Daphnia pulex: one gene and its partners. The protein of the gene in region 1 binds, or shares a complex with, the protein of each later gene. Links are inferred from orthologs where the notes say so. Each region holds a gene or a part of one and is shown in the gene's direction. Other genes may lie near its edges. The genes, in order: DNA-directed RNA polymerases I, II, and III subunit RPABC2-like; general transcription and DNA repair factor IIH helicase subunit XPB-like; general transcription factor IIF subunit 1-like; DNA-directed RNA polymerases I and III subunit RPAC1-like; RNA polymerase I-specific transcription initiation factor RRN3-like.

What was found.
Region 2: DNA-directed RNA polymerases I, II, and III subunit RPABC2-like (region 1) and general transcription and DNA repair factor IIH helicase subunit XPB-like share a complex: the UniProt entries of both Homo sapiens proteins name them as parts of the TBP-based Pol II pre-initiation complex. The link is inferred for Daphnia pulex from reciprocal best matches to the Homo sapiens genes POLR2F and ERCC3.
Region 3: DNA-directed RNA polymerases I, II, and III subunit RPABC2-like (region 1) and general transcription factor IIF subunit 1-like share a complex: the UniProt entries of both Homo sapiens proteins name them as parts of the TBP-based Pol II pre-initiation complex. The link is inferred for Daphnia pulex from reciprocal best matches to the Homo sapiens genes POLR2F and GTF2F1.
Region 4: DNA-directed RNA polymerases I, II, and III subunit RPABC2-like (region 1) and DNA-directed RNA polymerases I and III subunit RPAC1-like share a complex: the UniProt entries of both Homo sapiens proteins name them as parts of the pol I pre-initiation complex. The link is inferred for Daphnia pulex from reciprocal best matches to the Homo sapiens genes POLR2F and POLR1C.
Region 5: DNA-directed RNA polymerases I, II, and III subunit RPABC2-like (region 1) and RNA polymerase I-specific transcription initiation factor RRN3-like share a complex: the UniProt entries of both Homo sapiens proteins name them as parts of the pol I pre-initiation complex. The link is inferred for Daphnia pulex from reciprocal best matches to the Homo sapiens genes POLR2F and RRN3.

What each region holds. Positions count from the first base shown.
Region 1 is NC_060023.1:6,841,042-6,844,433, forward strand, and holds DNA-directed RNA polymerases I, II, and III subunit RPABC2-like, read left to right. Parts: upstream 1-1,560; 5' UTR 1,561-1,718; coding exon 1,719-1,747; intron 1,748-1,822; coding exon 1,823-1,972; intron 1,973-2,034; coding exon 2,035-2,242; 3' UTR 2,243-2,262; coding exon of another isoform or gene 2,263-2,340; 3' UTR 2,341-2,384; downstream 2,385-3,392. Other genes in the region: chymotrypsin BII-like, read left to right, coding at 37-202, 262-360, 426-541; LYR motif-containing protein 2-like, read right to left, coding at 2,263-2,340, 2,396-2,493, 2,562-2,601, 2,671-2,718; ATP-dependent RNA helicase DDX18-like, read right to left, coding at 3,031-3,176, 3,251-3,392. UniProt on the Homo sapiens protein: DNA-dependent RNA polymerase catalyzes the transcription of DNA into RNA using the four ribonucleoside triphosphates as substrates.
Region 2 is NC_060020.1:5,844,609-5,848,867, forward strand, and holds general transcription and DNA repair factor IIH helicase subunit XPB-like, read left to right. Parts: upstream 1-1,459; 5' UTR 1,460-1,618; coding exon 1,619-2,810; intron 2,811-2,880; coding exon 2,881-3,144; intron 3,145-3,209; coding exon 3,210-4,138; 3' UTR 4,139-4,213; downstream 4,214-4,259. Other genes in the region: RNA-binding motif protein, X-linked 2-like, read right to left, coding at 1-251, 312-441, 503-661, 966-979. UniProt on the Homo sapiens protein: ATP-dependent 3'-5' DNA helicase/translocase. Binds dsDNA rather than ssDNA, unzipping it in a translocase rather than classical helicase activity. Component of the general transcription and DNA repair factor IIH (TFIIH) core complex.
Region 3 is NC_060018.1:349,874-354,973, reverse strand, and holds general transcription factor IIF subunit 1-like, read left to right. Parts: upstream 1-1,778; 5' UTR 1,779-2,087; coding exon 2,088-2,105; intron 2,106-2,164; coding exon 2,165-2,200; intron 2,201-2,258; coding exon 2,259-2,332; intron 2,333-2,399; coding exon 2,400-2,677; intron 2,678-2,757; coding exon 2,758-3,057; intron 3,058-3,122; coding exon 3,123-3,369; intron 3,370-3,433; coding exon 3,434-3,693; intron 3,694-3,752; coding exon 3,753-3,828; intron 3,829-3,879; coding exon 3,880-4,080; intron 4,081-4,142; coding exon 4,143-4,350; 3' UTR 4,351-4,510; downstream 4,511-5,100. Other genes in the region: regulator of microtubule dynamics protein 1-like, read right to left, coding at 308-349, 421-535, 600-737, 799-1,106, 1,166-1,314, 1,376-1,605, 1,669-1,751; uncharacterized protein LOC124188758, read right to left, coding at 4,641-4,778, 4,839-4,929, 4,982-5,083. UniProt on the Homo sapiens protein: TFIIF is a general transcription initiation factor that binds to RNA polymerase II and helps to recruit it to the initiation complex in collaboration with TFIIB. It promotes transcription elongation.
Region 4 is NC_060020.1:1,789,840-1,794,711, reverse strand, and holds DNA-directed RNA polymerases I and III subunit RPAC1-like, read left to right. Parts: upstream 1-1,707; 5' UTR 1,708-1,771; coding exon 1,772-1,864; intron 1,865-1,929; coding exon 1,930-2,001; intron 2,002-2,072; coding exon 2,073-2,313; intron 2,314-2,393; coding exon 2,394-2,513; intron 2,514-2,571; coding exon 2,572-2,754; intron 2,755-2,834; coding exon 2,835-2,951; intron 2,952-3,021; coding exon 3,022-3,144; intron 3,145-3,209; coding exon 3,210-3,322; 3' UTR 3,323-3,327; exon of another isoform or gene 3,328-3,356; intron 3,357-3,405; 3' UTR 3,406-4,240; downstream 4,241-4,872. Other genes in the region: uncharacterized protein LOC124192222, read left to right, coding at 1-368, 562-653, 715-950, 1,016-1,182; sodium/potassium/calcium exchanger 1-like, read left to right, coding at 4,368-4,478. UniProt on the Homo sapiens protein: DNA-dependent RNA polymerase catalyzes the transcription of DNA into RNA using the four ribonucleoside triphosphates as substrates.
Region 5 is NC_060026.1:14,529,711-14,534,615, reverse strand, and holds RNA polymerase I-specific transcription initiation factor RRN3-like, read left to right. Parts: upstream 1-1,719; 5' UTR 1,720-1,941; coding exon 1,942-2,166; intron 2,167-2,236; coding exon 2,237-2,526; intron 2,527-2,586; coding exon 2,587-2,739; intron 2,740-2,796; coding exon 2,797-3,210; intron 3,211-3,274; coding exon 3,275-3,456; intron 3,457-3,516; coding exon 3,517-3,635; intron 3,636-3,693; coding exon 3,694-3,951; 3' UTR 3,952-4,524; downstream 4,525-4,905. Other genes in the region: uncharacterized protein LOC124203933, read right to left, coding at 1-234, 301-515, 581-672, 742-907, 969-1,195, 1,255-1,335; protein piccolo-like, read right to left, coding at 4,843-4,905. UniProt on the Homo sapiens protein: Required for efficient transcription initiation by RNA polymerase I (Pol I). Required for the formation of the competent pre-initiation complex (PIC).

The sequences.
Region 1 (3,392 bases):
ATTCATCTTTTATGAATTAGACAAAAGGTGAGATAGGCCTACATCGACGTCTATCTGGGGGTTCACGATCACACGGCAGAGTCGGAAGGCAACCGGAAATTGTATTCCAATAGCGAAACCTTCATCCATCGTGCCTGGAATCCTGCCACCGATGCAGGAGACATTGCTCTCATCAAACTCAAAAGCGCCGTCAAATATTCACGTATCATTAATTCGTGTTCTTTAATTTAAAATTATAATTAAATTTAAGATTTTGTACAGAGTACATCCGCCCAGTGTGTCTGTCAATTTCCGGTATCGACGAACCTGATTACGTCAACGAAATGGTTACCGTCACGAGATGGGGTACAACTTACGACGGTATTCCGTTCAACATACGACGACGAGAGAATCCAAAATAAAAGTTAAATGTTTCAAAAATTCAGGTAGTCCACGTATAAGCCCAGTGTTACATAAGATGACGGTCCGGCTCATCTCCAATAACGACTGCAGGACAACTTATGGCGACAACATCCAAGGAGGACATTATGTGCACCAGTGATGGCGCCAACAACATGGGAACTTGCATAGTAAGTGAACGCATAATCATCCTAGTGAATTTACTTTTAAAATGTATGCAAATATGGCAGGGCGATAGTGGCGGATCGATGAATTACAAACAGATGGACGGCAGGTGGAAACAGATCGGGATCATATCGTTCGGTTCGACTGAGGGATGCCAAAAGAAAAGGGTCATCCAAACGGTTACAACAGACTGAGCTCTTATTCTTCATTTCAACGTAGATCCGGGATATTATTGAATCAACTTCCGGCACTCATTGAACATCCGCCTTTTTATCGACACCCCTTATGCTCGTTTCAATCGTATTCGTGATTAGCCTTTCGACGGCGTGGTTCTAACGACTCATTTGAATGCCCTCCCAGGGCTCCCACCTACTAATGTACATTACTATATCGTTTATTCATTTAGTTTGTAATAACAAGTCTCAAAACAAGGTGAATCATTAAACGCAACATTTTCTAATCGAATCCAGAATTTGAAAATCTCAGTCATTTTAACAGTCCGGCAGTTGTAATAATTAGATACCAGCGTAAGCATTTACGTGCGAGCATGTACGACGGCGACATAATCAGCACGCAAATTGCTGTAAAACATTACATCTTTTACAAGTTGGAAAAAAACATTTAACTTCACCGGAAATCCCAAGTAGGATCTCTTGCCCTCGTCCTCCTAACGGCCACCGGTTTACTTTCGCCTCTGATGAGATCGACCCTCTGCAACCGTTCGACAACTTAATATCCCAGCTATTTAATACACATTTGGACTGTCCTACACTGTCGACGAAGCAACGATGTGCTGACATTTTCCATTTTAAATTACTGTTTTCTTATACCCTGTTACAAATGGATGCATTTTAGTATTTTACCATGAATCGTCCATTCGAGATCCAACCATAAAGTATCCACAGTCCACACGTATAGTCGTATACTTTATGAATCGACATTTGAATCAAGAAAGGGACGCAAGGCCACCTGGTGAACGAACGCCGAAGTTGACTCGGCCGACAACTCGACAAAGCGGTGGCGGTTGACTAGGGCACCATCGTCTGCACGCTGTAGCAAATGCAAATCTCTTAAATTTGACTGGAAATCTCGTGGTCTTGTTAACTTACTCAGTTTTCACTTTTCACTGTGATTATCTTACCCTTTAAACAATAATGGCAGACGATGACTTTGAGAACGACGAGTAAGTTAATAGTTAGTTGGAGTTTTTCTTCTTTTCTTAATCACATGTACAACATGTTGAATTTCTGTTATTTAGTGGCGACGATTTTGAAGATGCTGAAGACGATGATAACATGGATGAAATGGAACAGCCAGACGATGATGCACAAATTGATCTACTTCAGCAAGGTGAAGGTGGAGCTGGCCAACTGCAAACCAAGCGCATTACAACACCTTACATGACAAAGTATGTAACACTTGAAAGATGCATAGCTCATGAAAGACTATAAACAAGTCTTACATTTTTAGGTATGAAAGGGCACGGGTGTTAGGGACCAGAGCATTACAAATAGCAATGTGTGCACCAGTCATGGTTGAATTGGAAGGCGAAACAGATCCCCTGCAAATTGCAATGAAAGAATTGAAGCAGAAGAAAATTCCTATAATCATTCGCCGCTATCTTCCTGATGGAAGTTATGAAGATTGGGGAATAGACGAACTTGTAATCAATGACTGAGTCCAACATACAATAATACACTAAGATGTCTTTTTAATTGTACTTTGTAATTCTTTCACCATTTGTCTCCCATTGATGAGAAGTCCCTTGATTGTTTCCTTCAAAATAAAATTCTGTGAAATAAATTCCAAATGAAAACAAACTAATTAATACTTCATTAGTGTGAGATCGGTGTGTTTCAAAGTCACTCCTAGCCCACTTGATGATTTCGTCTTTTTGATGCCTATCTACTTTTCTAGCTGTGCGTAGAACTTGATGAACAAAACACTTGTTTAATAGTTATCAGAACTATGTACCCTAATATTAAGTAATCAATTACCTTCTCTGTATAAATTCAAAACCTCTTGCCTAAGCATGAACTGAGAGAGAATAATTTTTTATCAGAAGCTCTGCAATGTGATATGTTAATGCTATAAATATGGAATTACCTGCTTAAGAGTGAGCACTTTTTTAGGAATTCTTGAAATGGTAGACATAGTTATTTGTGGGTAAATTCAGATTACTAAAACCAGTTGAAAGTGTTTTGATTACTGAAGTGATTTATTCTAGGAGTCTATTATCAATATCATCTCACGATCTATTGACAATATTCATTAATGGTTAATTCTACGATACCCTTCAGAAAAATAACTATTTTTATTTCCATCTCAAACAAATGAGCGACGAATTCCGCCCGCCATCTCTTAAGGAAAATTACCATTACAATATTTAGAGAAATAAAGCTTGAACGAAAATATTGGATACGCAAATTTATTGTCTGTGGACAACGTATAAAACAGTCAGAAAAATTATCGAGAAAATTGCCGTTTGTCGCTTGGTTTCTGTCCAACTTGACGATATGTGCTTGCTTTTGTACGGTGCTTAGTTCCTCCATGGGTCTCCCCGAAGTTCCCTTGGCGTTTGCGAGGGCGGTCAGCTTTAGTACTACGCATGTCTACAAAGTAAAATGTATGAGTCAAATTTTGTGAAATCTGAAATGTCAAGGCCAACAGATAAGATTAAACATACTAAGGTCTACTGTCGGTGGAACTTTGAAACCAAAACTTTGGGCCACTCTAGCCAGGTCGAGTGTATGAACGTCGAAGATTGTTTTCAAATGATGAGAATCATAAGCACGAATGTAGGCTTTGTAAGCTTCTTTTGCTGACAT
Region 2 (4,259 bases), on another chromosome or scaffold:
TCCTCTCTGTGCTTTGGTTTACTGGTGGATTCTGTATCTTTTTCTTCTTTTGGAATTTTCCCTTCAGACACTGCAGCAGTCACTGATGCTGCGGGATTTTCTTGAACGGAATTCACAAGAGTTTTTATAATTGACGATTCAGGTCCACACCCTTCTTGGAGAATCCTCAGTGCATCTTCATCAAGCTTGTCAGGATCTTTTGGAATTTTATACTGCTCAACGTGGTCGACACGCAGAGTTCTCCCACAGACCTTAGAAAACATATTTTGTAATAATGAAATGCCTGACAACCCAAAAAATGTTATTTTTACCTTGATGCTATTTAAATTGTCAACTGCAAGAATTGTTGATCTTTGATCTTCGTAACATAAAAAACAAAAGCCTTTAGACTTGCCTGTAACCTTGTCTCGTACTAAATTGATGTTTGCAACCTCTCCATACCTTAAAAAAAAATTTTAACTATTAATAGCAATAATAAACATCACTTAAGTATTAACCATACTGAGAAAAAATGCAGATGATGTCCCCCTCAGACAATTCATAAGGCAATCCTCCAATGAAAATCCAAGCACTGTCTTTGTATTGATAATGCCATGAAGCTTTTCCTGATATGTTGTACTTCAGTTCAGTCTCGCTGAGTTTCTTGATATTCTTCACATTCCTAAGAAAAAGGAAATAGCCATATTAATAATGAACTTATAATATATTCTAGTCTAATAAGGTAGCATATAATATGCTTCGTTCTACGCAGCACCAGCAGATAACATGATTCCAAACTATATTTATGTTGTCCAGTCCCTACATTACAACACCCCCACACAAAACCTTCGATAAGTTTTATTATATTTACCCTCACTATGTGTTAACATACTTTTTAAGTTAGCCATAAATCGAAAATTTCTCACAAATAATATTGATACAAGATTATGAGTTTATGAATGATGCAAAAGCTATGTAGTACTTACGTTAGTGGATTCATCTTCGTCCAACAGGAAAGTTCTCGTAGAGTTTAGTTTAACTTGAAGATGGGCATTATTGCAAGGTGAGGAGTACTTAAGTCAGGATCGAAATCCGAAAGAATAATAACTGGATGTATTTGATTGAATTATTTGAATTGCTTTTCTTATTTCCGATGGCAGTTAGCGAAATGCCACTTGCCAAACCAAAGCCAAAATATCAAGCAGACGATCACGTTCAAGGAAAGAAGGCATGTAAGACGTACCGAGTGCGCCTCTGGTGTTTAATATATGCATAAACATCTGCTATTATGATCTCCGTTGATTGCTTGAATATAGGAAAATAATTCATTTAATTTAGAAGTTAGAAATAAGTTTTCAAAGTATAAATTTACTCGAAACGATCAAGAAGTACAAAATATAATTCTCGTTCTTGATTTTCCGCTAGGTGTGCTATGTGTGCCCGAACCATGCTTCTGCTTCAGGCGATTTATTTTTGTGTTGTTGCTCTCTCTCAGCTGAGTTTTCACTGTCAGTGTTCAGTCTTCACTTCAGTGTTCGTCCAAAGTTCATCATTCAATCACTTTACCGAGAAAGTTAAATTTGTTTAGAATTTTCCAGCAGTATTCATAGAATAATTCACGGTTATTCCTCTGTTTAATATGGCTGGGGGGAGCCGTAAATACGGGAAAAAAGATGGAGATCGTTATGACGCGTCCAAGAAAAAATTTGCTGGTAAAAAACGAAAGGATTTTGAAGATGAGAGTGCTTATGATGAAGGCATACCGGATGGAAATGAAGCTGAGGGTGTGCCAGAAGCGGCAAAGCACTTCATTGAAGTTGAAGGTGAAAGGCAAGGGGAAGATGAATATGGAGCCAAAGATTATCGAGACTTGCAGCTTAAACCAGACCACATGTCTAGACCATTGTGGGTTGCTCCCAATGGCCACATCTTCCTGGAGTCATTCTCACCAGTCTACAAACACGCTCACGACTTTCTGATTGCAATAAGTGAACCAGTTTGTCGTCCAGAACACATACATGAGTACAAGTTGACTTCTTACTCATTGTATGCTGCCGTCAGTGTCGGGCTGCAAACTCATGACATCATAGAGTATTTAAAGCGCTTAAGCAAAACTGCTGTCCCTGATGGAATTGTAGACTTCATAAAGATCTCAACACTCTCTTACGGCAAAGTCAAATTAGTGTTGAAGCACAATCGCTATTTTGTTGAGTCTCAATATCCAGATGTCATCCAAAAATTGTTGAAAGATCCTGTAATTCAAGAATGCAGACTTCGTCACAGCGTGGAATCTTCAACAGATGGACTGATCACTCAAGTTCAATCAAAAGCAACGTCTATTCAATTTGGAAAACCTGGTACTTCAGGAGAGGAACCAGGAGAAGAAGGAAAGCAAGTGCCTGATGACATATCGAATTTTTACGACAAAATGGACAAGGATGAGGACGACGAAGATGATTCTTCTCTTCAAACGGTTGCATTTGAAGTAAATCAAGAAAAAATTGAAGTCATTCAAAAGCGATGTATTCAGCTAGAATACCCTTTGTTAGCGGAATATGATTTTCGTAACGACACTCATAATCAGGACATAAACATTGATTTGAGACCTGCAGCTGTATTGCGGCCTTACCAGGAAAAAAGCCTGCGAAAAATGTTTGGCAATGGTCGTGCTCGCTCTGGGCTCATTGTTTTGCCTTGTGGAGCTGGTAAAAGTTTGGTTGGTGTGACAGCCTGTTGTACAGTTCGAAAAAGAGCTTTAGTTCTGTGCAATTCTGGAGTTTCAGTCGAGCAGTGGAAAGCCCAGTTTAAGATGTGGTCTACTGCTGACGATAGTAAGAAGTTGTTAATATGTTTTTATCTTTACTTGATAAATAAATGTTTTTTTTTTTTTTTTCATTTCAGGTATGATCTGTCGTTTTACATCTGATGCAAAGGATAAGCCTCATGGATGCAGCATCATGATCACAACCTTTAACATGATAACACATCAGCAAAAACGTTCGTATGAGGCAGATCAAACGATGAAGTGGCTCCAGGAGCAGGAATGGGGTATTATGGTGTTGGACGAGGTGCACACTATTCCAGCTCGCATGTTTCGTCGTGTTTTGACCATTGTTCAAGCCCATTGCAAGCTTGGTTTGACAGCTACTCTCGTCCGCGAAGATGGTATTTGATTATTTTTACCTGTAATGTATTTATTTGTCTGATCAACGATTTTCTTTATCTTACAGACAAGATTGCAGACTTGAATTTTTTGATCGGACCAAAGCTGTACGAGGCTAATTGGTTGGAGCTGCAAAAACGTGGATTCATTGCTCGAGTACAATGCGCTGAAGTATGGTGTCCTATGAGCCCAGAATTCTATCGCGAGTATCTGGCCTGTAAATCCGCAAAGAAAATGCTTCTCTTCGTAATGAATCCTAACAAGTTTAGAGCCTGTCAGTTTCTTATTCGCTACCACGAGCGACGTAATGACAAAATCATCGTTTTTTCGGATAATGTGTATGCTCTTAAGCACTATGCGCTTACCATGAATAAGCCATTCATTTACGGTCCAACATCTCAGAACGAAAGGCTTCAAATTCTACAAAATTTCAAACTGAATCCGAAGGTGAACACAATTTTCGTCAGTAAGGTGGCTGATACTTCCTTCGATTTGCCTGATGCCAACGTGCTTATTCAAATATCCTCGCACGGTGGCTCTCGTCGTCAAGAAGCTCAACGTTTGGGGCGTATTCTTCGAGCCAAGAAAGGTGCCATTGCGGAGGAGTACAATGCGTTCTTCTACACGCTGGTATCGCAAGATACATTGGAAATGAGCTTCTCTCGTAAACGTCAGCGATTCTTGGTTAATCAAGGATACAGCTATAAAGTCATCACTCGCATGGCGGGCATGGATCAAGACCAGGAATTGAACTACAAGAGCAAGGAAGAGCAAGCCAACCTGCTACAAATGGTTCTGACAGCATCGGATATTGATGCAGATGAAGAGCGTGTACCCGGAGAAATTGGAGGTCGGCCTGGTCCATTTGGACGACGCGTTGGAACCATGGCATCAATGAGCGGTGCCGATGACGCAGTTTATATGGAATATAAACGCCCATCAGCTTCAAATAATTTATCCAAACACCCCCTTTTCAAGAAATACCGCACCAAGTAAAGATTTTCCAAGTCATAAAATGTGATTACTATATCTCAAAATTCATGTTGAATAAATACAGAAACTGGTTTAATACTTTTTATTTCTCACTTTTTTTTGGTGTCTGGTGACAGGTGTGTGA
Region 3 (5,100 bases), on another chromosome or scaffold:
TCCCTTCATATGGCTGGCGGGGATTCTAGCTCGGCACATTTCGGGCTGTGGTGACACGCAACGCTACCTATCGGACCTATCGAGAACAAGTGAATGAACTTTGTATTCGTAAACACGCACGGGGAAATTTGGGAAACTGTTGCACTATTGCATGTTGTACCGATAACACACACACAAGGAAATCATTTAATAATAAAAAAACAAACATTTTTGATTAAATTTCAAGGTAAACAGAAGAGGCGCATACATTTTTCTTTATGTGGAAGGATATGGGTAAATATCCTCGAGCGTCCTTGGAGCCAGCGGCCTATCTGATGGAATTTAATAGCTTGACTGCCTCGTGTTTGGCCTATGATATCAATGTAAAACCATTTTTATCAAACAATAAAATGTAGAAAAGGTTAATGCGTTATATGTCACCTCCAAATCTTCTGACGAGGCGATAGCATAATCTCGAGCTCTGGTCAAATAAGCGATAGCTTTTTCTTTATTGTTGAGCCGCAAATATGTTTTCCCCAGCATCAATAAATTCGTACTGAAACGAAACCATTCAAAATGCACAATTATTTAGAAAAATGAAAAATTAAACCAAGCCGTACCTGTAAAAATTCGGCTCAACTTCTTCCGCTCTTAGGAAATACTGCAGTGCCTCTTCGTAAGAAGATACGGGCGGTGTAGCAAACAAGGTTGAGGCAATTTGCCTCTGAAGCCACGGCAATTCAGCAACAGAAAAGCACCTAAAGTTGCACGAAAATGTGTTACGTTACATACAAAAGAAAAGTTGTTATCTTGTCATACCAGTAGCCTAGCAAATGAAATGAAGTTGCATCCTTTGGGTTGAGTTCACACGCTCTTTCTATGTGTTTCTTGACGACAAACGATTGAGAAATGCGCTCCTTTAAGCCCTCGTAGGACGCCTTTTTATCTAACAAAATAAACATCCACTTGTGAGCAGCAAAGTTTTCCGGATCAATGAGCAGCGCCCCTTCAACATAACCGTATGCTTCAAAATCTAATTCTTTTTGTTCAATTGGACTGGACGATAATTTCGCTACTTCATACGTCGCTCGTGCCAGTCGCCAAAGAATTTCGGCATTATCTTCGGCCTAAAAAAAGTTTTTCCAACATTAAAACAGAGACTGACAAATCAGTTTATTCTTATTACCTTGTAGGGCAACAGAAGACTTCTCAATTTGGTGTAGGAATGCTCATTGTACAAGACATCAGCTTCAGAAATAAGATTGGTCTTATTTTCTCTTTCTTCATCAACTTTTACACTAGCAGAGACTGCAGGTAACAAACCCAGCATCCATCCTGCAGATTAACAAGTTATTGATTGTTTTTGTTACATGAATTCAAAAATTAGGCAACTTACCAATGTTTCTTGAAACTAGAGCTGGTTTCTTAGGAACAACATTCAGGAATCTTTTCCTGTACACAACAAATGCATGGTAAACTATTCCATATATTTTTCTCCCAGAGAACGATAACACCATGACGAACGCTTTCCACAACAGAAAGAAAATAAATGACGAAAAACGAATTAGGCAGTTGAGAATAGATAGGTAATCTAATTCCATGGCGACCAAAATTGGAACTAACGAACTTCAATAGTTGAAAAATGAATAATCATTTACTTTACTTGTAATATTACTTAACAATTTAGACCTCTTTATAAAAAAACTTTTTGATTGGCCATTTTTGGATATTTTAATAAGGTAAGTGAGAAATAGCCTTTCACAATTTATCATGTGGTTCAAGGCGGGAAGTCGACAGTGCAGTCTCGACGTGAAAAGAAAAGAACTGAAGCAGACGAAAACTGAACTGGGTCGTCGTCGACTATTTTTCTTCAGTATCGGGTCGGGTATAAAATTCGTTGGCGCTGTTTAAAGTGTCCCAATATTTTTTGGCATAGAAATTTCGATCACCACCCCTTAATTTTGGCCTATAATTTAGTAACGTGCATAGTTGGGTTAGTTATTTACCATTCGTGACGAACTTGTGACGAACACATCGGTGGTGTGTCTCGATCATTGTGTCGCCGGTGAGAAGTTGTTTTGTCAATCGTTTTTCACCGTCACATCATAATGTCTGCTGTTAACAAGGTACAATTTTTTTGTCTTCTCAATCAGTTAATTCAATATTAATACATGTGTTTCTCAAGACTCCTACTGGTGGATCAACTCCTGCTGCTACCAGGGTAAAGACATTTTGGTTTTTAATTAATTAGTTCAACATAATAATATGTGTTACATTAGACTCCAGCTGCTGGTGGATCAGCTCCTGCCGCTGCTGCTTCTAATGTTCAGACTATTGACATTCGAGTCCCCAAGTAAGAATATCAGACATTACCATCTAGATTTTTGCCTTCTTAAACCGAGTTTATAATGTTGTCACAGGAACATAAACAAAAAGCTTGCCATCATGAGATTCAATGGCTCAATGGGTATTGACTTTGTACAATGGAAAGATCCAAAAATGGAAAGGGAAAACAACCAAGTCACATTCAAAGGGTTCAATGAAGATATGCCAAAGTTTGGTGCTGGGAGTGAATATGGCAGAGAGGCTCGTGAGGAAGCTAGACGGAAGAAGTATGGCATAATAAGCAAAAAGTATAATCCTGAAAACCAGCCTTGGATTTTACAACATGGGGGAAAAAGTGGGAAAAAGTTCAGAGGTATACTAAAGTTGGAAACCAAGCTAAGATAGCAATAAGAAAGTTTAGTAATGTGCAATTATATTTATTTTATTAAACAGGAGTAAGAGATGGTGGCATTAATGAAAATGCATCGTACTACGTTTTTACGCAAGCACCAGATGGTGTGTTTGATGCCTTTCCTGTGCAAGAACAATACAGTTTTCAAGCAGTTCAAAATTACAAACCACTGAGTATTGAAGAAGCAGAGGAAGGGTACAACATGAGGAACAAAACATACAACATGTTCAATGTCATGATGAGAAAGAGACTAAGGAAAGACGATGAAGACGCCGAAGAAGAGGGCGAGGAAGAAGGTGAAGGCAAAGGAAAGAAAGGCAAGAAAAAGAAGGGAGCTAAAGGTAGGCAACAAGCAAAAGTTCCACCATAAATAATGTCACAAAATTATAACAACTTTTGCATTCAGATTCTCGTTTTGGTGATGAATTGGACGATATGATGGCATCTTCCGATGACGATTCTAGCGACGGCAATGATGATAACGACGACGATGATGGAGAAAGTAAGAAAAAGAAGAAGAAAGGCAAGAAACCTGTTAAGCCGAAGAAGAAGCGAAAGAATGCGTCCGATGATGAAGCTATCGAAGATAGCGATGATGGTGATGGTGAAGGCAGAGAGTTGGATTACATTTCCTCTTCCGACGATGACGAAAGGTATGTCATTAATCTTGATGCATTTGTCGATTTTCTAACACACCCGCGTTGTTCTTTAATCTAGTGATTTCGAGAAAGAAGAAGCAAAGGACGGACTAAAGGGTGTTGCCGAAGAGGATGCTCTCCGCAAGTTGCTTAACTCGGACGAAGAAGATGAAGACGAAGAAAAGGAGGAAGAAGAAGACAAAGACAAAGAAGAGGAAGATGCTGAAGGTGCCGAAGACCAGCAAGGTGATAAGGCTTCCAAAGACGAAAAAGGCGACAAAAAGAAGAAGAAAGAAAAAAAGAAGAACAAGGATAAAAAGCCCCGCAACGAGGATTATGGTAATATCCATTTAAAAACATCGTGTGTTTGAGTCAAATAATAACGAAACATTTATCAGGATCGTCAAGCGACAGCGGTGCCGAGAGCTCAGCATCCGAACTGGAGAAAGCTAAACCGAGCCCAAAAATGAAACCGTAAGTGCAGTAATTTGGTTTCCTGACAGTTAACTGACAAACTATTTCTAGGGGGAGTGCCAACAGTTCTAGATCAGCTACTCCGACGAAACCTGAAACATCGCCGCCTAAAACAACGCTATCAGATAGCAAGCGAAAGGGAACACCTGCAGTGTCCGATGCTCTTACTGGCCAAGCAACAAAGAAACCTCGATTGGACATGGCATCCGCTGCTTCAGCTGCCTCTGCCGCTTCAGCTGCATCATCATCTAGGTATTTATAAATAATGAACTAAAATTAATCCTGAAACGTTATGTATATTTTTTCTTTTACAGTGCCAATGAAGGAGTCAATGAAGAGTCTGTTAGACGTTATTTATCCCGCAAGCCAATGACAACGACCGAATTGCTTCAGAAGTTCAAAAGCAAGAAAACTGGTTTGTCGTCGGACCAGCTTGTCCATCACATTGCACAAATTTTGAAGAAGATCAACCCCGTGAAGCAGACAATTAAAGGGAAGATGTATTTGTCGATTAAGGCTTAGCGACAATAACGATGATTGGTGTGTTCTGTTTGTGCTGCAATCACTATTGCTACTTTACTGAAATTATCTCAGGCCTTCCCTTTACGGTTTATAAAAACGGACTAGAACGGTTGTTAAAATGCGTGATTTTCGGAACGATTAAACAAATTTGCAGTTGTAAGTTTTGGTATTATTTCAACAAGTTATCTGTTATTGGAAACACTTCACATTTTTAGATGAAAAACAGCCATTGAACTGACAAGTTAACATTTCTTGGTGGTGAGCAAGGTGCTGGATATTCGTTCAGAATACTATAGAGAGAAAACTTGAAGTCGCTTTGACATGTCTGCTTCGTCGTCTGTGCAAGCCCTTTTCGCGTTTTCAATCAAGAATTCAATATCTTTCTGATAATCGGCGGAATATTCGGCGACACTTTCGACGGAGAATTTCTGGACTCGGAAAATAAACATTAAAAGTGTATCAAAAACTACAAACATAAAGTAACCTACATTAGCAGCTTCTTTCATATAATTTGCAGCAGCTTTCCAGGATGGAGCAAATCCAAATGATACAGTCTTATTCATGACCATTGTCTCAATACTAAGAATTGGATACTTTAGTTTCAGCACAAATTTTATCATAACATGCAAACCTTCTTTGAATATCATATGTGACAGAAATCAAGAGTTCATCAACTTGTGGACATAGATATATAAAGTGAGGTCCATCATTGGTATTGACAAATTTAGTTAGCCTAATTAACACAAAGTT
Region 4 (4,872 bases), on another chromosome or scaffold:
CACCGGGTTGCCGAGGAGCCGTCCCGAGAGTTGCGAATCATTTTCCGCAATCGATGTTTGCTCGAGAGAGAGACGGATATCTACGAGATAGACTTGAATGTGATGAAGACGATGATGAAGACATTGAACCTGTCAATACTCAGAAAGACAGACCCCGTCGTAATCGAGCTTCGAAATTGGATGATGACGACGAAGAATTTGAACCTGTCAAAATCCCGGTTCGTTCGCGCCACACTCGTGCGTCGTACTTGGATAGTGATGACGACATTGCACCCGTCAAGACTACCGGTACCACGACCAGGGCGCGCTACAGTGCCGCTTCGTGTTTGGATGATGATGCTAACGGAGAACCCGTCATGAAACTAGAGGTAAATTTATTTGAGCGCTTTGTGAACCACCCACGTATTTTGCATAGCGTAGCATATCTTAAAAATAGTTTTATTCTATAGCTGATAGAATAAGCTCAAATTATTAGAAATTACCGTTGGGTTCTAAGTTTTGATTCTATAAGTTGACTACATTTTTGTTTGATCAATTAACAAACCATTAGCTCACTTTCAGGATATCGAAGAAGATTTACGCAAATTGCGTGAGGCGACTTCGTCAGTGCTCAATCGCTTCGCCACGAAGACCAACACCCAACCCTCTACTCGGTAACGAACAAATCAAATTTTCACGCAAATGAACCAGATGGTATTTAATGAATATCAATAGTTTGTCTCGTTTCTTTTCGAGCTATCTGAACGATGATAAGGATTACGAGAAGAGAAGCTCAAGTTACAGCTCTGATAGCTACAGTCCTAGCTACAGCAGCTCGTATGCCAGGCCGTCGTCGATAAAGCCGGTCGACTCTTCATCTTACGATCCGCCCGTCTACGATAAGCGCTACTCAATGTACTTGTCTAGCCGTTCCACTAACAAGGATTCGGATTTGGAAAAAGACGCAGCAGGTAAACCACATCCTCTACCAATTGTAATTTTTTTTGTTACCTGCAAATGAACTTCTTAATTACAGGAAAATCTGATCGAGGACCGATCCCGCAGGCAACAGCAGAACCGGAGTCGTATTCGAGACGTAGAACACCAAGGGCTTCAGCTTCAAGCGACGATAACAGCAAAATCAATTCACGAATTGCTGTCATGTCCAAATACATTCTTTCAAAGAATAAGACAAAAAATTAAATAAATGACAAAGACGAATACATTTTTTTTTTCATAGATGGTTCAGTCTCAGGATAAATGCCCCATTTATTCTCTCTCCTCCGAAAGAAATAATTTACCCATACATTACATGTCTGTAAAATGCTGACGTATTAGTTTAGTTCGGACTGTTTGATACGCCGAATATACTTCAGCTTATACCGTAAGTATCGCGCTAACATCCAAGCTAACTGTTTATATCGTGTACAGTTACTGTGTCTAACGTGTATGTGTTATTTGCCTCAGAAAAAATAGAAATATAAAAACTCAACAAATTCCTTGAAATACTATTGGAAATAGGATTTTCTTTTTTTGAGAGGAGGGTGTTTATTGGCTATCAAAATAATATTTAATTTCTTATTATTTACCTTTACCCTATAATATATGTCCGTTTGTTTTCTAGAAAAGCGGTTTCGATTTGAACTGAATTAAACTGAGAGACGGTGGCGAGACGGTGGCGACATCTTGCAGTAAATTTTAAAAATAAATAAAAGCAGACGACACTTTTCACAATAGTCATTATTTGCCAATTTTTCCCTCGTCCAGACACGTGTTAAAGCTCAACGGAAAAATGAGTAAAAGTAAAGTTAAATATTCATCAAGCAAGGAATACATTGATGAAAGTAGGAATGAACTCGTGCTGACAGAATTCGAAGTTCTTAATGTAATACTACATAACAGAAATCTTCCTAAGTTCAACCAAATTTAATAATAAAAATAACTATTTAGGCTGAAGCCACAGACTTCCCAGGAAATCATCATGGGTTTGACGACAGTTGGAGTTTTGAAAAGTTCAAAAAGGTTCTTCTAAGAAAAGTTCTACACTATAAGTAGATAAAAAGAGAGCATTACCATTTTTTCTGATTTTGTAGAGGCTCAAAATTAACATTGTCCGCATGGAAAATATGGAAATGGAGTTTGATTTGATTGGTGTTGATCCAGCCATACCAAATGCTTTTCGTCGTATTTTGCTGTCTGATATTCCCACCATGGCCTTCGACAAAGTCTTCATGTTCAACAATACCTCAATCATCCAAGATGAAGTCTTGGCCCACAGACTGGGACTGATACCATTGAAAGCTGACCCAAGATTGTTTGAATTCAGAGCTGAAGGTATACTCCAAACACCCATTCTTTTCTTTGTCACCTTACTTCATATAACTGAATCTTTGTTACCCCATCTCTCATTTTAGATGATGATACTGGGACTCCTGAAGATACACTTGAATTTGAGTTAAAAGTGAAATGTTCGTGGAATCCTCAAAGGACTAAAGATCATACAAATCCTGAACACTTGTACAGGGATTTCAGAGGTAAGAAGGGAAACTCAAACCTTTTTTTTTCGACAGAATGCTGACCTACTTTTTTCAGTTTTGACATCTCATTTGAAATGGATTCCACTGGGTGGCCAAAAAGATATCTTTACCCCTGATGCAGTTGGACCAGTTGACGATAACATTCTAATCGCAAAAATGAGACCTGGTCACGAACTTGACATCAAATTGCACGCAATGAAAGGGACCGGACGAGAACATGCAAAATTCTCACCCGTTGGTTAGTTTTATTGTTTTTTTTTATGATTAAGAATTTTTGGACCGAGATTTAAACAAAAACTATTTTTCTATTTTCTCAAGCTACCGCATTTTACCGTCTCCTACCACAAGTGAAACTTCTTAAGGAAGTGGAAGGTGAAGCTGCCCAAAGATTACAAAAGTGCTTTTCCCCTGGGGTTATTGATTTGGTCGACTCAGGTTTGCTACATACTATATTTTTTCTTCTAGCTTAATTAGTGTGAAGCACTACCTTTTTATTCTATTTCAGGTGAAAAGAAGGTTGCCAAAGTCAACGATGCCCGATATGACATCTGCAGCCGCAACGTATTCCGTCACGAAGATCTAAAAGAGGACACTGTAAAGCTGACCCGAGCACGCGACCATTTCATCTGTAAGTATTGTTATTGGATTTTTGCTTATTCCTTACTTTAGCGATGCATTTGAAAATGTGTTTAGTTTACATCGAGTCTACTGGAGCACTGGCGCCGGAGGTCCTCTTCACTGAAGCCGCCAAGATCCTGTCACAAAAATGCCGTGTATTTTTGGATGAATTGAAGAATGGACTGTAGGAATGGTATCCTAAATAGACGCGTTGATTCATGACGATTACGCATTATTAGTTCACCTGGAGGCGTTTGTGCCGTTGATATAGTTATCACCCAGGATTCCAGCCGAGTGACCCAGAACTGCATTTAGAAACCGAAACCGGAGCTTTTCAAACGGAAGGAAGGGAAGACTTATTTAAAAAATTTGAGGGGTGGAGGCGAGCAACTAATTCTTCCTGGTTTTACGGAAGGATACCTATCCTTTTTCATATGTTCCTTTCCATCGCTATTTTTATTTGCCTTCTGCAACAATGGCTTCTGTTTGTTTCGCTACTGGTTTTACGAAACGTTGGCGCTAGACTTGCTAGATAAGCTGTAGTAGCCTCTTATTGACCTTGGATCCTAAGGTTTTGATTGTTTTGGATGTGAACCGAGATGTTCCTCCTTCTAATGTTCTTCTTCCTTCCTTCTCACATTTTGTTTACACCGCCAATTCGTTTTAGCCCATTGTGGAATATGCGTAGGTGGTGCCAAGAAAGTCTAGGCAGATGAGATGAAGGAAATGGGAAGAAGAACAAGAAGTGTATTCTGTTTTGTTTTTTATCTCCTCTCCCTTTCTCTTTCCCTTCTTCTTCTTCCTATTTTCTTTTCTCTCTTTCTCTTAAGTCTATTTCTCATTGACCGTGGCATCTAAATTTAGTGCTCGTGGAAGCTTGTGGAAGCTTGCGAGCTTGTGGAAGAGTTTTGTTTCGGACGTAGAGCACTCGGGTCGCTTTCCATCTCCACGTTCACTACAAGTACAGTCGACGACGCACTCTGCTTGGTGGCCGGACGAAAGAAAAACCGTCTCCCTCAATCAAAAGACCCCTTTCCCCCATCTGGGCCGATCGTGAAGTTGTTAATTAGGGAGATCTTTTTTCTCATTTGGACTTGGCTGGACAACAGAAATTGGGTAAGAGAATGCCTCATATAAATTTATGCCTATGATTGTCTATTCATTTTTATTTCGGTTTTGAACCCCTATCGTTTCCTATTTTCATTCTTCGGATCCGGAGAAGACGATTACGCAATGGCAGGCTACTACTCCAGTCAACGAGGATATGGTGGCTCCTACGGTAGCTCCTATGGCGGTTCATCATCGTCGGCCTACACGTCATCCCTGCGTAGCAACTATATGCCGGTAAGTCTCCCATTATTGGGGCGGTTGAAATCCCCTCAACTGTTTTCTTTTCTTCGTTCATTTTTTGCTTCACAGCCAAACCAAAAACAACAAAAAAAAATTTTTGTTTTTTGCTGTGATGACAAAACTAGAACGTCGCCAACTAAAAACGAGTGAAGATATTAGGCCGTCTTTCGTGCAGCGTCAAGTTTTAGGAGCCAAGTTATTAGAAAATGCAAAAGATAGGAGGATATCTCGTAATGGGAACAATAGAAGATGCGTTTTAATGTGATTGTGTGTGTGTGTGTATACGTGAGTGCTCCTGACGCGAAGACAAAAGAAGAAGAAGGAAGTGGATCTCGGTTGAGTCTCTGGCATCGCAAATCACAGCCAAAAAAGAAAAAAAGGAACACAG
Region 5 (4,905 bases), on another chromosome or scaffold:
GATAGCAAGAATCTTCTGTAAAATCAATAGTCTTATCTAATAATTCGCCCGAGCGACTAGCGTTGAAGCGTTCTCGCAAACGCCAATCAATCTCTTCCAACATAGAGTCCTGAACGATCAGGTAAAGACCACAGCTGTTGAAGCTACTCGTCTTCAAAGCGGTAAGTGCGGCATCTACAGCGGCATCGCAATCACCTGTTTCCAACACCACGACTGCTTTTTTCCCGTCGAGATCTTGTTTGGCATTAAAAAAAAACAGGATTAGTTAAAATTATTTAAAATCTCACGGCACAAAGTTACCCAATTTGAGATTCGAAGCTCCATCGCGCAATGCGAGCGCTTGATCATAGCTACCGCAAACAATAATATCGATGCCCTCTGAAGAAGTGATTCCTTTCAACCTTTCAGAACTTCCGGCATACACGCTGCAGTCCAATCCCACTTTGTTTAAAAATTCCCCCATTAAAAGGCATGGAATTGCTAGAAGATCATTTTCAGGGACCAATACAATTGGCCTAAAGTCAAAAGGTAATTCAGTATTTTCGTTTATCAATAAGATAAAGGGCTAACTTATGCTTACATTCCTCTCGAAACGAGTGGTGCGATTGCACGCGACACAGACAGCACTGGATTAGATGAACCCACAATTACAACAGCAATATTGTTCCCAATCTTTGAAAAAAAAACCAATAAACTTTAGTAGAAAAAATTTAGTAATGCAACTGATAATGAATTTAATACTTGAGTAACAGGACATGACTCTAGCTGATCAGCATAATAGGTCCAATAACTTGCAGCTGGAACAATTTCATGTTGGATGCAGTAGCGTAGAGGTTTGCCAAAAGTGGTTGAAAGAGCCAAACCAAGAAGTTTTTGATATTCAGGTTGACTTAATAACATCCCAAGTCTTTAGAAATAATTGGTGATTACAAATACAGAAATAACACATTTAGACAAACATATGATACTCAGTCATTTTGGCAGATGTTTCTAGCCATTGGATGTGTGACCATTTTCTTTGTCTGTCTTGCTTGAGAGCTCTCACAAATTCTTCAAAGTCACCATCAACACGTTTCATAATGGAAACATTCTTGGCCAACTCTTGATGAACAGAGCTAATCATGAGGAACTTGCCCCAATTGGTCCCTTCTCCTTGGCTAGCAGGGACACTTAAAGGTGAAGTGGCAACCCAATTCTGTCATTTAAATAAATTGATGATATGAAACTATGAAGAAATTACATCGATTGTTTTACTTTAAAATCGCGGTCGACCTCCATGCTGCTTTTTCCGTAATTAAGCGTAGCTCCTTTTACAGCTTCAAGAATGTTGACCATCTCAGGATGAGTGTTTAGCTCTAATATTTCTTCCTGTAAAAGTTCAGCAAACGAATGTTATATGGAATGTTTGAGATAATTTATGGATACACTTAAAGATAATTCGATCGTACGCTTTATTACGGAAATTACGTTGTCACTTGCCAGCTGTTTGTCTCTGTCAAAACAAGTTGAAATATCGTGCGTGAATACAGCTGTCACATCTTACCTGAGTCATTATGGCAAAACAACTTTAACCACAACTTTCGTTTTCATTTTGGCTTCGAGTTAAAAAAAAATCCTAATAATAAAATTTATAAAATGTTGCTCGTTTTCGATGTTTGGAACTATTATTTTAAATTTATAAATGTATTAAATCGTAAAGAAATTTGACAACGCTGTAGGCTAATAGTATCATCGCACTAGCAGACTGATAAAAAATCAGCGCGAGCAGTGAGAGCTACATTGATGAGACAACGTGGTCTTGGCCGTTTTTTTTCAGTTTTAGTGATTGCAAAGATCACAAGCACAGAGCTCATCACTATAGTAAAATCAGAAATCGTTAAGAGTTCGAGAACCAAGTAGTTTTATTTTTTATTATTGTATTAAGTAAAAGAAACGATAGCCATGGCGAGTACGAATTGCTCCCAGTTGACTCCCATACCACAGTCCATATTGAAACCCAGTTCGCGAATCAGTATGCAACCCAAGAAACTTTCCCAGCCTTTGCAGGTCCGATTTGACTCCTTGGTCACAATTGACGTGGTTTCAATTTTGAAGGATTATATCGAAGGGCGAAGCGAAGTGAAATATCACCAATTATTGAATCTGAAAAATGATCCTAATGTCAATGTAAGTAATTTGGGGAAAAAACTGGACGTAGGATTACAAGATTACGAACTAAGAATTTTTTTATTTTTAGGATGGATTTTTACTCCTGATTCTTCAACAAGTAAACAGCTCTATCAGTCTGCTGACTCCAAAAGTTGATTCCTTTGTTGATGCATTGCTGCATATTTCATGGACAACAAGACAGCCCCCAGTACTTGATGAATATTTGACATTTCTCCAAACACTAGTTTCAGCACACACATTCTACTGTAGATCAGTAGTCAAAATGCTAGTCTCACATCTGACACTTAATTCAGACTGTGAAAAATCTACATCGAATGTGCATCTAGTTTTGAGGGGAATTTTGCAGCTGATACCATTGTAAGAGCCCTGTAATTATTTGTTTCCAGGATCAAGAAAATAATGTTTTTGTATTGACAGGTCTCAAAGTATTATTTGGGATTCTTTAAATAATGGTTTTCCCTACATTGGATCAAGCAGTTGCAATCAAGTAAACTACATCAGAAATCTTCTACATTTTGTTGAATACCATGAAATGTCTGGACCCCGTGTTTTACATCTCATCATTGGAAGGTATGTCAGTCTTTAATTCATTTATTTTAATTAACTAATTGAATAATTTTTGTATAGAATCATTAAATTGGACAGCAGAGTTTCAAGAGAGGACTTGCTACAAAAATTCAATCAGCCTATGGAGTTTGATGAGGATACAGTCTTGAATCAAGCTTCTGAAACGTTAGACGAAATCATGAAAGTTATGTTTGAGTTGTGTCATCGCAAATGTCATAGCGAATGGATTGTTCATCGGAATTTTTATCAGGACATGTACGCTACGTTCGAATCTTTGATACTACCGGCCGCCGGTATCCATCATGTCCATTACTTGATGTTCTACATATGTAGTACCAAAACTGCTCTCTATGAAGCTTTTACTGAGCGCTTGTGGGTCATTTTTCTTACCCCTTCATCTCAGTTGAATATTCGAAAATCGTGTGCCGATTACCTTGCTTCGTTTTTGGGGAGAGCCTCTTTTGTACCCATGAAGTACGTTCACATTTGTGATAATAAGACCAATCAAACCAAACATTAACTCGTGATTTCTCTAAAGGTACGTCATTGACTGTCTGGATCGAGTGTGTCAGTGGATTCACGCATACCTCGATCGGCAATCAAAGGGTGAGGGAGCAGCTGTTTTTAAAATCCGAGCCCATGCAGCATTCTATGCCGCTTGTCATATTCCCTTCTACGTTTTGGCTGCTAGGCATCGAGATATTGTCAACGACAGAAAGCGTACGATGATCGTTCTTTCTTATTGTTGGAATTCAATTAACCTTTTGATCATTTTTGCAGTTCTCGCCCGATTGCAAGCCCTGGATTTGAACCGAATTGTCAACTCACCTTTGAACCCACTACGCTATTGTCACGCTACAACTGTCAGACAATTCGCAGAATCCGCTTCACATCTGCAGGTTGTACCACTATCAATCAAGTTGATTTGTAACGTAATTAACCGAAATTCTCGTTTAGATTGTATTCTGTCACACCATCATGATTCGTAATCAGAGGGTTTGTATACCTGAAGCTACAACTGACACATTTGTCATGGATACAGAATATCCATTCGAGAAATACCTCTTGCCCTCATCGATGGACTTTGTGTCACCTCTTGTTATTGACAAACCTATCGGTCGTGACGATTCACTCTACGACAGCGATCAGGTTATGGAGGAGCTTTTGTCTGAATCACCAAGAGTTGGCGGCTTTATGCACCACTTCATGGGTTGATTTCATCGATATTGTCGTTGGTAAAATCTAAAATTTACCCCATTTTCCCTGTTTCTTTATTTTCTGCAATTCTCTACATCTTTATTACCATATGACCGTCTTTTCCCATTCGTGTCGGTTAAATTATGTATATTAACGTGGTATATATTCACTCGATCGTGCCTATTTGTTGGAAGACCGTTGAAATTAACATTTTTTCCTTTTGGGTCTTGGTCTACGGATTAATCATCCGTTACGCTATTCACAACTTCGGGAGCTGATCACTGCTGCGGTTTTTCTTCGTAAGAACATTATTTTTCCTTTTTCTATACTCGATCGTATTGGGCGGCTTGGGACGTACGTTGAAATTCTCCTTTGATTCGTGGGCTTGTTAAATTTCTTTTTGTCTACTCTCCCGATTACCGCAATGTTATTTGCTCTCCCCTTCGATTTCGCCGTTTCCTATTCAACTTACAAAGATGTTGTCGCCAGCGTGTAATGAAAATTAAAGTTTTCGTGTAATTCATTTGAAAAAAAAAATTGCCACTTAAAAACCAGTTCCCTTTAGTGAGAATAAAATTCAAGTGAAGCGTGTCGGTTGCATTTGGGAATATAAAAATCGTATAATTCTGTTTTCATCAAACACCTATTTATACATCAGTTGAAAGAAAGAATAAACTTTGGTAGGTGAAGAGGCGGGTAAAGGCACTGCAATTCAATGCGCACATTATGGGTTTTGGCGCATATTTTTTTTAAACACCAACAGGGGACTACCAAACAAACATGCAGGCATGCTGAAAAAGACGAATGGTGACATGTACACTAGCGCCAAGCGGTCGTGACACCCATCATTCTTCTGATTTTACATCACGGTGCTGCAGGTAATAAACTTCAATACTACATTCATTCACTTTATTCGTAATTATAATGTTTGGAAACTCGTGATCCGATTTTGGTCCACCAGGTCGAATAACC